Linked DNA regions of Lepisosteus oculatus. The protein of the gene in region 1 interacts with the protein of each later gene in a biochemical or structural test. Links are inferred from orthologs where the notes say so. Each region holds a gene or a part of one and is shown on either strand. Other genes may lie near its edges.

Region 1 (7,645 bases):
AAGTTTCTCAGAACAGGCCGTGCGCTACGGCAGCAGACCAGTATTCCCAGTCACGGACAAGCTGTCGGGATTAGGAGATGAAGGCAGCTTGCGAGCTGCGGCCGCCTACACACTCCCTCTCCTCTGTCACCGGACGTTTTTTTTCCCCATTTTCAAAGTTCCGAAAACTGTTAAAAAAACAAATCACCACCCCCCAATGAAAAGCACGAAAGCAAACACACAGCATGAGGTAACCGGCTGCCAGCGACGTGTTTGCCTTGCGGTTTGGCCGCCGCGGGCTGTCATCGCTGGGCAATAGCGCGGAGCGCCGCCCGCTCAATCCAACAGTTCAAACACGCCTCTCCTCCCATTCACCGGCAAATCTGGACGCGTATCCGAAAGCTCCCCGATCAAAAAAAGCAAAATCGGCTTTGTGTACAAGCGGGGCGCCACAGGAAGCCCGTGCTTGCTGTCGATATAGTGTTACACGGACGCCCGGGCCAGCTCAGCAGCTGAGGCACCTCGTCACGTTCCGGCGGCAGGGCGCATCGCAGTAACTCAATACTCTGCGATTCTCCTCTGCTCCAAACGCAGTTTTTCTTCATTTATTCGTTGTTTGTTCCCCCCCAGCTCACTGACTGGTAGCTCCCTTCGAAACGGGGACGGCGGCTGGGGGAACGGGTCATGTCCCTCCGAGTTTCGCACCATTTCGCGGCCATGTGCGTAAATATCTGCCCTGTGTGAGATCTGTTCACGCTGCTCATGTTTATGAGGAACTAAACTCTTGACAGTATGCCGCAAAGAAACGCAAAAATATCGACCAAGTCGGACGCCACTGAAAGCTCGCGATTTCCGGCAGTGCCGACAGCGTCGCCGAGCAATCCGAGAGGTATTGAACAGTATTACCGAGGTGATTGATAAAAGCGGGACCGGTTCGTGCGGCCGGAGGCGTCACTTTCGCCCAGGCCGCCGTTTCCATTTTAGAGCTCGGCGCGGAGTCTCGGTAGAACCGCACAACCGAGCCCCTTTAAAACAAGTGGAGCATTCCTTGTTCGATCAGACAGTCGGTTCAGGCAGCAGTGTTTTGCAACATTTTGAAAAGTACACTCATCTGAATCTCTTTTTGGAGTTGCGTTTCACGCCGTTTCACATTACACAGGGAAGTGGCCTCTCCAGTATGACCTCCACAGTAACAGGTTAAAATAGTCGACATACAGATTCATACTGCAGCCCTCAGAATAACTAGGTAACCAAAATGTTTCTTCTGACCGCCCCAGTACTTCCTCTCCCCTGACAGGAACAAAAGCGAGCTCTTAAATACATACCTCTCGCCCTGCTTCATTAATGTGACATCTGGGAAGCTACAACACAAAACGGAAAGGGTAAATAAGTTACTTCCGTTCAGCCATGAAACCAGGCAGCTTATATGCCAGCAGAGGGGAAACTGGCTTTGCAACAGGAGAAGGATGAGCTTTGAACTGAAACTGCAGGAGCAGTTATGGATCCGAGCTCATAACTGCAAGGCTTCAGCCTCTGCAGTTTCCTGAAACAAGATTTCTAGGTTCAAACCTTGGATGAGGCATTGAGGTCTGTGTGCGAGGCCTCTCACTTGGATTGTGAGAGTAAGCCACCAAGCTGTATCAATGAGTATAAAACTCGTTCTCTTTGCATAAAACCATCAGATAACCTAAATCAGAAGAAATCCCAAAGTACCACAACTGTTCCGGCAACAAAATGATGCCTTATGACGAAGGCCCTTTGACTGAAACACTGTTGAATTCGTCTTAGTTTTCAAAAACCTCTCCACTATAACATCACAATTCTGCACCTCTCAATGTAATGGTTTTGGGTAGCCTTGAGGTTTGTCAAACTGATCACAGATATAGAACCCGTCGATCAAAAAAAGAGAAGATCAACGGAAACAAAAGTACGATATCAGTGGTGTGGTTGACAATGACGATGACAAAATGCTATTAAACAGCAAAAAGCTGCTCTATCAATAAGAGCTGATGCATATCTATACAAGTAAGACACAGTGGAGCCTTCTGTCAGTCACTTGATCCCAGAGAAGGCCAAGGTTACTTTCTTAAAAACCGTTGAAAGGTAACAAATGAGAGGCCACTCGGCCCATCTTGCCTGTTGGACAGGGATTGACCCCGTCCATCTGCCTCGTGAAAGAAACTGGGGCGTTGGCACAACGACATGGCTGGGTAGCTGGTTCCACACCCACCCAAATCTGTGGAATAAAGAAGCACGTCTTTCTTGCACCGTGCTGCTGCCATTACCTCTCCTCTTCTCGCGACCACAGGGGAGTCTTGGGGATCTGGCCTTCGAAATACTTTGATGCTTTGTAACAAAAGTTACTGCAGAAACACTGAATGGGGGGAAAAAAAACAACTGTGTATCAAAACACAGGTCACACTTACATAGCAATTTATTTAAAAAAAATCATCCTTTATTTTCAGATACTTTCTGCAGCTTTTAGTGAAAGGAGACAAGAGGTGTTGCTCCCATTTCTTGCTGGAGAATCCAAAGTCTTTCACCTCCGAACTAAGAGGGGAGCACAAGACAGCACAAAGAGAGCGTCACGCACTCTTCAAGCACAGGACACAGGAGAGAACTCCGCTGTGTGTTCTAGAGTTGTCAAATCCACAAAGATTATGACAAAAAGCCACCCAAAACATTCTGCCGGAGTATTTTTTATTAAAAAAATCAAAACAAAATAAAGCACCTTACCTTCCGTTCTGTGATGTCATACACTTTATTCGTTCTGGTTGAAATTTTGTACTGCTGCTTGGGAACCTGTCATTATGAAAAAAGAAGATACATATATAGAGATTTGACAAAAGGGGATTTTAGAAGACGAACACATTTCTGGTAAACAAAAGAGACAATGTTTAATGTCTCATAGATGTGTCTGAGCAGTGTGAGGTCTTACGTTCACAAGTTTGTTCTGACAGACAGGGTAGCCACACAGCTTGACTATAGATCTCTCGTCCACGACGTCTCTGTAGTTTCCTGGAGTAATGGACTTTGCCTGGAATGATAAATAGTGACCCATTAGGCAGACGGGCAGCAATTTTGCACTACATTACACACACTGCTCCAGATGCGTCTGTGCCACAGCTGTAGTGCAGGTCCGTTGGCCGCAGCTGGTAAACCTGACCTCCCCTCTGTGATGCACTCTCCGAGAGCGAAGGTCAGCCTAAACAGAGGCCAACAGACGGGGTGCGGAAGCCCTGCGGCCCCAGGCGAGCGACTCTCATCTTTTCATCCGGTCCGCTTCGGGAATCGGCCTCCCGCCACCTCGGATCTGAGCGCCATCACGCTCCCCACTCCCCCTCCCTCCGCCCCTCGCGCCCAGAGCAGCGTGGGGCGGGAACGTGGAGGCGGCCCCCTGCTCCAACCCCACGCTCCTCGCGGCACCTGTCCGCTGCGAGCCCGGGCCCCAGGGGGAGCCGAGGGCAGAGCGAGGCAGCACGCGGCCCCCCGGGAGGACACCCACGCAGCCCAGCAGGAAGTCCTCCGTCACGCTGTCCTCCAGCAGCTCCTCCACCAGGCGCAGGGCCCTCTGCTCCAGCTGCAGCTTCCTCCTCACGGCCTCCTTCAGGGCCTCCTTCCTGCGCGGGGTCAAAGGAAGGGGCTGTAAACCGAGGCCCAGGCTGGCTCAGGTACGACCGCTTCATCGCAAGGTATGGAGGGTGGGAAACAGTGTGAAACACGGTGCGGTTGAAACGAAATGGTTCTATTTCTGAGCCACCGAGTGCGGCTTTCATGTAGCAATGGTTATATCTGGAAATGAACGAAATAGACTAAATAACTTCACACTGAACCGAAGCCCGTGGAAGAACAATGGACATAAGACTGAGGGAAAGGAAGTAGGAGCCCCTTGAGGTACTGACTGTCAGAATGGGTCCCATTTCTGCTCAGTTTAAGTTTTCGGGTTTTTCACGTTGCTGTCATGTCCCAACACTGCACAAGCCCCGCAGTCCAGTACCTTTTAGCAGCTTCCAAGGCTGTCTGCGCCTTGACCGCTGTCCGACCTGCAAAACACACGCATTGGGTCACTGCTAACGGACCGGCCAAGCGCTCACACCTCCGCGGACGCGCCCTGCTGAGCACGGCCACGTGTTCCCGTCAATAATCAGGGAACAGAAGACCGTTCACTGTACGCGTCACGTCCGGATCAGCTGTGAAGGGCGTGCTGTGCGCCCGCGGGCTTTCGCGGAGGAGCTGCAACGCTGCCTTTAAGGTTGAACTCCAAGGCTCAGTTCAAAGGTCGCTACGAGGGGTAACACGTGTAAGAAACAAGACCTCTAGCACAATTCACGCACCCAGGAATGTGCTCTGCTTCGGTGTTTCGACAGTGGTCTACAGAAAAACGAAAACCTTATTTATACCTTCGGCTTCAGACAGAGAAACGGCGCACTCTGTGCTCCAGAAGGGGGTGTACTGGGCGGGGCAGTATTTCAACCCGTCCCTCTTAATCACTGAGCTCCCAGTGCCTGATGTGGCAGAGGTGAACAGCACAGGGGAGGGAGGGGGGAATAAAACTCTGCATTAAGCCGACTAACCTTTCTTTCCAGGTCCCGCTGACCTGCCGGCTGCTCCCCGACACTCTTCCATGCTTGTTGTTCTTCCGCTTCACCTTTGACCCGTGACGTAGGGCGCTACGGCTCGCGGACAGGGCCAGCGCCGGCGCGCGCACTTCCTAAATACACGCGCCGCTCCTGCCTGTCTGTAAGTACAGCGCCTTGCACAGAGCAACACCGTGTCTCTGCTCTCTGTCTGCTACACGATGGGTAATAATAGCTGGTAGTCAAATTAGATCATCAGTCACGCATGTGTCCGGGAAAGACAGAGGTCTGTCGTTTTGATACAGTTGCCCTGCCATGACAGCGCTTCTTTGTTTTGGTCTTTCGCGCAGCATCATGAAAATGTGGCGACATGCATTCGTGATATTTTTATCGTCCAGGATAATTAGGCGCAAATAAATCGTTCAGCTGTTTTTAGCCCATAGCCACGTGGTTGGCAGACTTTCGCAGACTTTGACGTGCATTCCAGACGCGAACTACGATCATCATGCTTTTCCACTTGATGATCTTGCTAAATATTCAGTCGTTGTGAGTTGTGTGCAGTGACTTGTTGTCTGTAACTGTTTGCAAATAATTGCTCTTTTCTAGATGTTTCCGGGGACACCGGGGACAGCTATTAGTCCATCTTTAGGACAGGCAGTGCTGCTCCGTGCTCGGTAAATCCTATTAATCCGCACACAATAGAAGGCAACACAGTAAGAGGTTTAAGACCTCTCTGCTGACCTTGTCGGTACCGGCTTTGCTTTCTGTAGACAGATTACCTGGGAATCGCCCGCAAGAGTAAAGAAACTTTTAACAAATATCAGGGAAAAAGAAAGACGGCGCTGATTAAAATGTGGTGTCTTGTACTTCTTTTATCAAACTATCGGAAGGAATAGGATAGGAAACTCTCCTCAGTTCAGAGGTCAAGACAGCTAACGTGCGTTGGCATGATTTGGCTTAAAACGTGTGACTGGGATCCACTAGGGGCAGTGCTGTGGGAATACGGGTATGGTGGGGTTAGTCGACTCTCTGTGACCCCGCGACCCCTGTGACCTCCCAGGTGCAGTTGTTGGGGGACACGTCCCCCCAGAGATTGCTGCTGAACCTCAGATATAGGGCTGTGCTGCTTGTACCCTGTTATAAACGCACAATTACATAAATCCACATCAGGGTGTCCAAGATCACTGGCGGTTATCATATTACAAATGTCTGATGTTTACATTTCAATTTCAGTTCACACAAAGACACGGTTCGAGTTGGGAGGTATTTCAGGCACCTGTGACTGTTCAGCATGTACGTCCAATCCCCCTCAAATGACACGCCTGTCCACATTTCAGGACAGCTGGCATGCGTTGACCAAATGTGGCTTAAAAGTTTGCGTTGAGCTCTGTGGTCACGGGTTCGAACCCGAGTTTCAAATGTCTCTTTTTAAACCCTGTAGGTGCTGGCACTGAGGGGGGCACCTGGACCTCAAGACGCTGAAGATGGCCTTAGAGCAGCTATATGACATGTTGCAGAGATGTGTAAGTACCGTCAATGAAGCGGTTCTGTAGTAATAGCTTTCACTGCTGAAAATAACTTTTTAAAAACTTTTCCCAGCCGTTTGCTTCAGTACCTGCTATTGATAAGATTCACTCAATAATTCCACCAAAGGAAACCTCTCAAAACTCTTAATTTCAAGATTTGGGATGACTCTTCTATGTCTGCGTAAGTCGATGTGCTGCTAATTTGGTGCTCCTCCAGCTTTACACCCTCCCTGCCTGCTCCCTGTCTGCAGCAGGTGCTGGCTGACGACAGCTTCAAGCCGGAAGACTACGAGCAGTTCCAGAGCGCGGGCCGGGCCTGTCTGGAGCGAGGGGGCGCGGCACAAGTGCTGGAGGTCGTGCAGGATGAGAAAAACAAGGTCCGCCTGCACATGCCGAGCTGAATGGTGCACGTTACGTCCAACTCCCGAGCAATACCGAAACAGAGCTCTGACAGCACTGGGAGCAAGGCTTTCAAGATGTCCCCACCAAAGTAGTTTGAAGGGGAGGAAAGCACATGGCTGCTCGGTACTTGTAGTGTCCCCTGAAGATTTCGGGTTCTAACAGAAAGGCATAAGAGCGCAGCACCTAGGCTTTGCTGCAGGGTTTAAGAACTGTTCCATGTGCCTGGCAGTGAGAGCCACAGCCTGCGCCATGGCTGTTACACCCTGCTGTTGATCCTGAGGTGCCAGCGGAGAGCTGCAGGAGAGTGTCTGATTTCTCGCTCCACTGGTGTCCTTCAAGGGTGCTCCAGTGTTAAACGGTTTTCTTGTATTTAAACTGCCTGGTGTTCTAATACTGGCTGTCTGCCTTTCACAAAGGAGCAGATGCTTTTAAAAGGCACATTTTCAAAATCCAATTGCTTCAGAGCACAAATCAGAGGTCTCTTAAAACACCAGGCTGTAATGGTAAGTCACTTATAAAAATGAGAAACGTCACATATGGCAGTGGATTGATTTATATTGAACGAGCAAGATTTTTGGTTTTCTGGAAACATCTTGCACATCAGAGGAGAGAATTAAAACCTGTGCCGCTGCTGTAGCAGGTGGGCTTGCAGCTTGTGAAGGGGAAACAATAGCAGGGAGACGCTGGATTTCTTAGCAGGGCTGAGAGGGATTCGTTCCAGGCCCTCCCTGAGGCGCCCGGGAACGAGGTGCCGACACCTGCTGTCGTATGTTTGAACCGGTAAATGTGCAAGTTTGAAGTGCAGGGGACCCATTAAGGCCCAGACACTGCCGGTTCGGGCCTGTTTCCGGATGACTGTGACAGGCGGTCCACCAGGAAAAGCCTGGCCAACAAGGCCAAGCCCCCTGCAGCAGGGCAGCGAGAGACACACAGCGTCTACAGGGGCAGGTCGGTCTCCGGTCAGGAGCCGTAAGAAAGGGCAATTTAGGATGGGGTGGGTACGTCATCAGAAATATTGGTGAATTAATGATTTGAGGAATTAAAAAAGGCGTCCGATGCGGCGTGGCCCTGAAGAGAACTGTCCTCTTGCAGGCGATCGTGAGGAGCATGGGCTGGAACCTGCTGGGCCCGCTGGTGCAGGTCATCTTGCAGAAGGATGAG
Region 2 (7,332 bases), on another chromosome or scaffold:
AGGTGTGAGCCTGGTCAGTACCTGGATGGGAGACCTCCTGGGAAAAACTAAGGTTGCTGCTGGAAGAGGTGTTAGTGGGGCCAGCAGGGGGCGCTCACCCTGCGCTCCATGTGGGTCCTAATGCCCCAGTTCAGTGACAGGGACAATATACTGTAAACAGGTGCCGTCCTTCGGATGAGACGTAAATCGGAGGTCCTGACTCTCTGTGGTCATTAAAAATCCCAGGGTGTTTCTTGAAAAGAGTAGGGGTGTAACCCCGGCGTCCTGGCCAAATTTCCCATTGGCCCTTACATCATGGCCTCCTAATAATCCCCATCTATGAATTGGCTTCATTACTCTGCTCTCCTCCCCACTAATAGCTGATGTGTGGTGAGTGTTCTGGCGCACTATGGCCAGGTGGATGCTGCACATTGGTGGTGGTGGAGGGGAGTCCCTATTACCTGTAAAGCGCTTTGAGTGGAGTGTCCAGAAAAGCGCTATGTAAGTGTAAGCAATGATTATTATTATTATTATTATGTATTATGACACCTACTACCATGTGGACAGATCTTACATGGGATCACCATTTTGGGCTCCTCTGAGAAGCAGACAAAGTGTGAAACATGCACTATGCTAAAGGGTCAGCCACTCTCCTGAGGCTGGTGGAAAGACAAGTGCAACTGCAATAACCTTATTTCACAATATGAGACCTGGTAGCCTCAAAGGTTGCCCAGAACTCTGGTCTAGGAGTGACCACGGTGATCACAACGCTGTACACAGAGCTGTAATGGGTAATTTTAAACAAAATAAACACAAAGGGACATGCTATGCTGTGTTGTACAGTCATCTCATTATCATCACCTAAGAATCAAAACGAATACAAATAAATAATACTGCTCATATATGGCAAATGTTAATAAAACTTAAGCAATTCCAACACATTTGTTCTCTTATTATGTTTATGCTAATTTTCACATTGAAAGATAATGAAAACATCCAATCATGTACATTAGGGATAATCTGACAGTAAGTAAAACTATATGTAAGCATTGAAAAACAATAGTTCAAACTGTCCAAGATTAACAAAATAGCATAAATGTTCATGATTAACTTAATAGATAACCACTAGGCCTAATTCTCCATTTAATGCTTTGTTAAGTTTCAAACTAATCATGTGTTTTCAATGTTGTATAGAATTTTAATGTAGTATGTTTAAAATCTTCAACAGATGCACAAACTGTTTCCTGTCTGGTTTGACTGATTCCACTTATCATCTTTAAAAAGGTATCTACCTTCTTTCAAAAATGTAGCTGGTGGATTACCAGTTAAACAGGTGGATTTTAAGATTAATCTTCCAATTCTGGGTAATAGATTAAGACAACGCTTTAATAAGGAAGAGGTCTTTTATCACCTTCTTAAAATTAAAATAATAATAATAAACTTTATTTTATATAGCGCCTTTAAAGGTGGCTTCTCAAAGCGCTGTAACGGATCTGTCATATGGAATTCAGGTTTGGCAGGTTGAGGTGTCAATTAACTTCACAGCCAACAGTCCAGAAACTGAAATGGATTGAAATTCTAGATTTATTTGGTATGCGGACGTTTACTACTATTATATTACAATATTCCTATTGGTCAATAGGAAGCCTGTCAACACACGACATTGTGAACTTAGTTCTGAACACTGACACGGAAGCGATCTTGCTCTCGGCGTGGACAGATCCTGCACGTGGGGGTTCCAGTGTTCTAGAAAACCCTCGGAGCTTCCAGCCGCACCAACACCACACTCGCGGTGCGCCCAGACACGCAGGCGGTAGAGCAACAAAGAGGGCAGGAAGTCATTAATTCTCAAATTTCAAAGCCAATGAAACTAAATTCGTCTAAAAACGGGGAAGGCATTGGTGGAACACATAGTAAGATGCTACAATTCGACTGCAGAACGATTTAAGAAGGTGACTGCGCAAATACTTTTTCAGTGCGAAAAGTCCAGGGCAGTGTACTTTCTGCAGTTTGAAAGTTGGTGACATTTACTCGCTTTCCGACGTTTAAGTCTTAATACCTGTAGTTGCTGAGAAAGTAAATTCTGATTTGGTTGCACTGAGAAAAGTTGCAGAACATTTCTAAATATCAACTCAACGTAGAGGCATGGAATATAAGGACATTCTAAATTTTCACTTGCCCTTGCGACCCCCGAGATATTATTTAATAATATTAATGCAGTATTTACGAGTGGTTTTATAGCTCCTCAACGTTGCAAAGTCAGAGTAAAAATCCGTCCCTTTACATACAAACTAGCCACATACCCATTCATTTTTTTTTACCAAGTATTATGGTAATCAATTTGGTATTTAGGAATCGATTATTAAGGTCTGGATAAATACGTAAAAATCACCGGGCCAACTGCAGAGCAAATGAAGATAAAACCATAGAGTTATGCAAAACGTTATGGGAAATCAAAGGCTTACATGTTCACAGAAAACCGAGTTTCTAGCAGCAGGGTGACTAAGCGCATTTATTAAGACGTTATTAAAAACGAGTCAGCTATGTAATAGCTATTAATCACTCTTCCTACTACTACGTGCACTTTATACATTCAGATTATTTACCTTTAAAACTCCTCCATCTTTTTTCGGGGTAATGTCTTCCCCCTCCATCTGGGTCGTTTGCTGTCCTTCGGCGTTTACTTCTTCTGCAGTCATTTCGCCTGACCTGTAACGGCAATTCTAACCGAATCTCAGATCTCAGTAGCTAGAATGGAGATATCGCCAGACCCCCTTTCTCTTTAATCAATTTTAAACACCTGCGATATAAACCTGCCGCTTGTTCCTGTGTCGGAATCGATCCACACAAAAGCAATAGCTTATTGTTACAAAATATAAACTATATATTTAAATCGCAGCCGACTTAAAATCTCTTATCAGAGAGCAATCTCAGTGTTCCGAAAAGTCCGCATCAGAGGCGTCTGCGAACTACGCGCGGTGTGCTTCGTACTGCAGGGCTGCCAGTCGAGCGCCGTCTATCAAGCTCCCCGAAGGAGGACGGGCACAGAACTTTCCAGAGCCGCGCCGGGCTGAACTGTAGCCTGCGCCAGGGGTCGCTTCCAATATCTCCACACGCGAAAAAAACGCAAACCTTCTTGTGCATTAGCAGCTTAGGCAAATTCAGAAACTTTTCTCATGGTTTTAACGTGCTGCGGGGAATATGAATATACATCATGTTTAAATGTTTAAACGGTTAAACGCATGTTTATTTCAGTAGCGAGGATTGTTTCACCGGGCTGACAATTAATGGATGAGTTTTAGGAAAAGAAATGGAAGTAAATCGTGTTCCTGTTCTGAAAATATCATCAAGTTTACAAATTTGCAACGGCTGTTGCACTGAAAGTAAACGAAACATTAATCCAAACAGTTAGTAGGTATGTTTTTAAAGGACTTAATTCATTTACCTGATCTAAAACTTTGTAGACACTCCCTTTTCTCTTAAATGGTTCAGTTTGGAAAAGAAGGAAAACGATATATCGATCTATATTACACATACATTTTTTGTATGTGTAACAACACAGAGCATTATTCATATGAATTGTGAGATGAGAAAACGATTCCAATGAATGCTTTGAATAAATCATTGATATGTTTAATTGTTGGGGGTAATGACTAACACTTTTTTGCCTAACCCGGCTGTAATCTGAGCCCTTCCGTTCATCGCGGGGGTGTCTGTGATTGGCTGATTTTACCCCAGCACTTGGCGCGCTCTTTGCAACAGCGTGAGCCCTCCAGCAAGAACAGCGGCTATCGTACTGCACACTACTCGGTGAATATTTCAACAGATTATTCCTTACGTTTACAAGTAGCTGAGTATATTTATGTCCGTGTATTGCTGTGTGCTGAATTGGTCAATCTTCGCGGTGGATTTTATGCATGTTTATATATTTGATAATTGAGTTTGCTTACCCATAGAAGACAAACGGAAGACAAACAGGGAACTAATCATTTCTCGTTAAATCAATGTTAAACAATGGGTTTAATTTTAGAAGTTGCTTGTTTAAACGTAATATCTTGCCATTGATGTCTGACCTGCAGTCAGTGATTGGACGATCTTGACGTCACACGAGCGGTGATTGGCTGGTCATTGATCCGGTTCAGAATTAGACCGAACTTTAAGGCATCCATTCATTTGATGACTGTTCTCATCTTATTTAGATTATGCTTGCGAGTTTTGTTATAGTTTTCTACGGAGTAATCACTATGGATCTTTAGTTTTTTATAATTATAGCCATGTTTAAAATTTTATGATAACATTGAGGCTGCATTTGTTTAGGAAAACTGGAAGCACAGAGACATTTTTTTTCAAACGTTTCCTGGAAAACTTTGTTGTCTTAGGTTTCACTATACTGTTGCAATGTGGTAGGACTGAATTCTTAGACCATCTATAGAACACATTAAAGTCTATGGTGGTGTGAGTTGGGTTTTGGGCATCGGCTGGTTATCGTGTTCAGTGGAGGATGTTTAACCTTTGACAGAAAATACAAGAAAGCTCTCCAGGAGGAACTTGTTTCTGTGCCGGGGGTAATTATCCAACAGTGCTGATTACTCTGGAAGTGGTGGCCTAGTACACAGTTCCTGTGTAAATCTTGACAGTCATGAGACAAGAACCCCAATAACATTTGTACAATCCTAGACAGACTCCTCTACTTAGTGGACCACCTCGTGGGAGTCTGTGTCATTGTGTGCAGTTCTACTAGAGCAGTATGGGGTACTCTGTACACTTGTACTCAAAATGTGTAAGCCCTTTGCTTCCATGTATGGGGATGAGGACAGAATAAAGTATGATTTATGTGTTTTTTCTGTGCTTCTTTTCTGTGCTACTTCTCTTTCTTAACATAGTCTGCTTCAAGATGGCAGATGGACCTATACAGTTCCCATTTCCATACCAACCATACTCCATCCAGAAGCAGTTCATGGAGGCTTTGTACACTGCATTAGATGAAGGAAAGGTTGGCATTTTTGAGAGCCCTACTGGAACAGTGAGTTAATTGTCTTATTTCCATGGTTTACCCCTGTCCAGCTCAAAGAATAATAACTATATATTGCTGACATGTTCACACAGTCATTATTTGTCTCCAGTAAAGTGAGCCTGATACACAATGTTGTCAGCTCCTGAATTGCTGTTAGGTCCTAATGTTGAGACAGAGTAAGCTTTCCAGTGTGTGAATTCAGAGGTCTCTCATTATGAATCTTTTTTGGGATTTTTTCAAGGACTGTCAATATATGATATATTCTGCATAAAACATAGATTTTGGTTATTCCATTATTCCCTTTATATACATGGGTCATGCTTAATAAATGTCAGCTAAATTAAATATATAATCTTTAATATCACATATTCAACATAAAGACATTTTGCTAAATAGGCTGCCTGTGGACTCTCACTTGGATAATATGGTTTGAAGTATCTAGGTTAAAAAAGGGGTATATACTGTTCCTGAAAGAGGGGAATTCTGCTAATTAAAATGCATTGATGAAGTAAACCCAAGTGGGCTTTTCACAATAAACAGTGAAACCCAAACCAAAGGACACAAGTGGAAATAAAGAGGAAGTGCATTTACTGTATAACTAAGAATGAGCGGCACTATTTCACAAATTCATTATTAGGAGGCCATGATTGGTAAAGGCCAGGAGGAAATTTAGCCAGGACACCGGGGTAACACTCCTACTCTTTCTGAGAAACGCCCTGGGCCCTAGGATTTTTAATGACCACGCAGAGTCAGGACCCTGGTTTTACAATTCGTCCTTTCCCAGGAGGTCTCCCATCCAGTTACTGGCCAGGCTAATCTTCAGCAGATTGCCAGTTGTGAGTTGCACGGTGAGCTGCTAGCTGAATAAGCTACACCCTCAATCTTTTTGAAGCTGAGCAAGCTTCCGACCCACTTGTTCTGTGTTCCAGGGGAAGTCTCTCAGTCTGATCTGTGGTGCCCTCACCTGGTTGAGGGACTACGAGGAGAGAAAGAGGCAGGAGACAGCTCGCCTGCTAGAGTCTGGGGACCTTGCTACAGACAGCTCTGCAGGGAGCCAACAGGCTTCCCAGAGCCAGGAGAGCTCAGACTCTGCAGAGCCCAACTGGATCACAGACTTCGTGCAGAAGAAGGCGGAGAGAGATCTGGTCAGCAAATTAAAGGTATTAATAAAAAAGTTTGAAGAAACAGTTTAAAGGGATTAAGATTGGGAACTCTCTAGGGAATAATGAGATCAGGAACTTTTCAGTAAAAAATATAATCAGTTCCACAAGGCATGTTTGCGTCTGTTAGCAGTGCCAAAATACCAATGGGACTGACTGACTGAAGCATCAAAGCTTCCTTTGACATCTGTTTTCACTTTACATAAGAAACTACATGAGGAGATATCCTGATTTTCTTTTCTCTGTCTAGGAGGATGAGTTGAAGAGGAAGAGAAGGGAAGAACGTTTGGAGTTGATGCGACGTAACGCTAAGCTCAAATACACAATGAAACGCAAGGTATGACTGTCGCTGGGTTTGCCAGCTCCTCAGGAGTGGTCTTTAGACAAAAGACTACGCTTATTGCTCATTTCTCTGTGCCAGTTAATGAAGCATATCTTTAGAAAATATTTTCTGTGTGTTTTGTTTAATAACTAATATAATTGTCATTTTAGCTCAGAGCTGTTTAAGCAAAACCTATTTTGGTGTTGCTTGAGTAAGGGGAGGGTGTGTTACACAGAGGGAGGCACTGAGTTAGTTAACGTGTTGGTCATAGATGGATTAGGAGAACCATTGTCCATTAAAGTCACTTGAATTAAAAATGTGTGTTTTTCTGGGTTTCAGTTAATGCTGGAGGTAAAATATTATTATCCTTGTTTCTTCTTCGTTTTAATGTCTTAAATCATCTTAGCAAAATGTCCTGTTGATAAATATCTACTGTAATTACACTTTATCCAATGTTTTGAGTTAATGATATTGAGCAGCATTGCTGCTGTTAAATGTGAGTAATACAAATTTAATCTTGTTTTTGTATGGCATGTTTGAGTGCAAGTCCTGTTTTGCAACAGTAAAGTGTAGCACGTGTGTAGCCCTTTGTACAGATCTGGAATCAATGTGTAGCCCTTTGGACAGATCTGGAATCAATGTGTAGCCCTTTGTACAGATTTGGAGTCACATTTCCTCTAATGAATGTTAACCTTCATGGGTGTTAGCAAGACAGTGAGGATGAAGAGGCAGTTCGCCTGCTGAAGCTCAGTAAGGAGGCCTTGACTGCGGAGGGTGGTGACGTCCTTGAAGAAGGGGAAGAAGAGGTGATTGTGGCCGTCTATGAGAGCGACGATGATAATGCAGTGCCGAAGAGA

What was found. The genes of interacting proteins can lie anywhere in the genome.
Region 2: the proteins of glmna (region 1) and fkbp4 form a complex in vitro, tested with the Homo sapiens proteins (2 studies listed by BioGRID). The link is inferred for Lepisosteus oculatus from reciprocal best matches to the Homo sapiens genes GLMN and FKBP4.

The regions. Positions count from the first base shown.
Region 1 is NC_090704.1:1,685,419-1,693,063, reverse strand, and holds the start of glmna (glomulin, FKBP associated protein a), read left to right. Parts: upstream 1-4,631; 5' UTR 4,632-4,719; intron 4,720-4,720; exon of another isoform or gene 4,721-4,781; intron 4,782-5,081; exon of another isoform or gene 5,082-5,102; intron 5,103-5,997; 5' UTR 5,998-6,040; coding exon 6,041-6,079; intron 6,080-6,333; coding exon 6,334-6,459; intron 6,460-7,576; coding exon 7,577-7,645. Other genes in the region: putative RNA polymerase II subunit B1 CTD phosphatase rpap2, read right to left, coding at 1,305-1,340, 2,265-2,353, 2,716-2,781, 2,918-3,016, 3,485-3,599, 3,977-4,022, 4,554-4,605.
Region 2 is NC_090702.1:11,471,025-11,478,356, forward strand, and holds the start of fkbp4 (peptidyl-prolyl cis-trans isomerase FKBP4), read right to left. Parts: upstream 3,018-7,332; 5' UTR 2,679-3,017; coding exon 2,586-2,678; intron 1-2,585. Other genes in the region: ATP-dependent DNA helicase DDX11, read left to right, coding at 4,874-5,002, 5,923-6,153, 6,404-6,490, 7,183-7,332. UniProt on the Homo sapiens protein: Immunophilin protein with PPIase and co-chaperone activities. Component of steroid receptors heterocomplexes through interaction with heat-shock protein 90 (HSP90).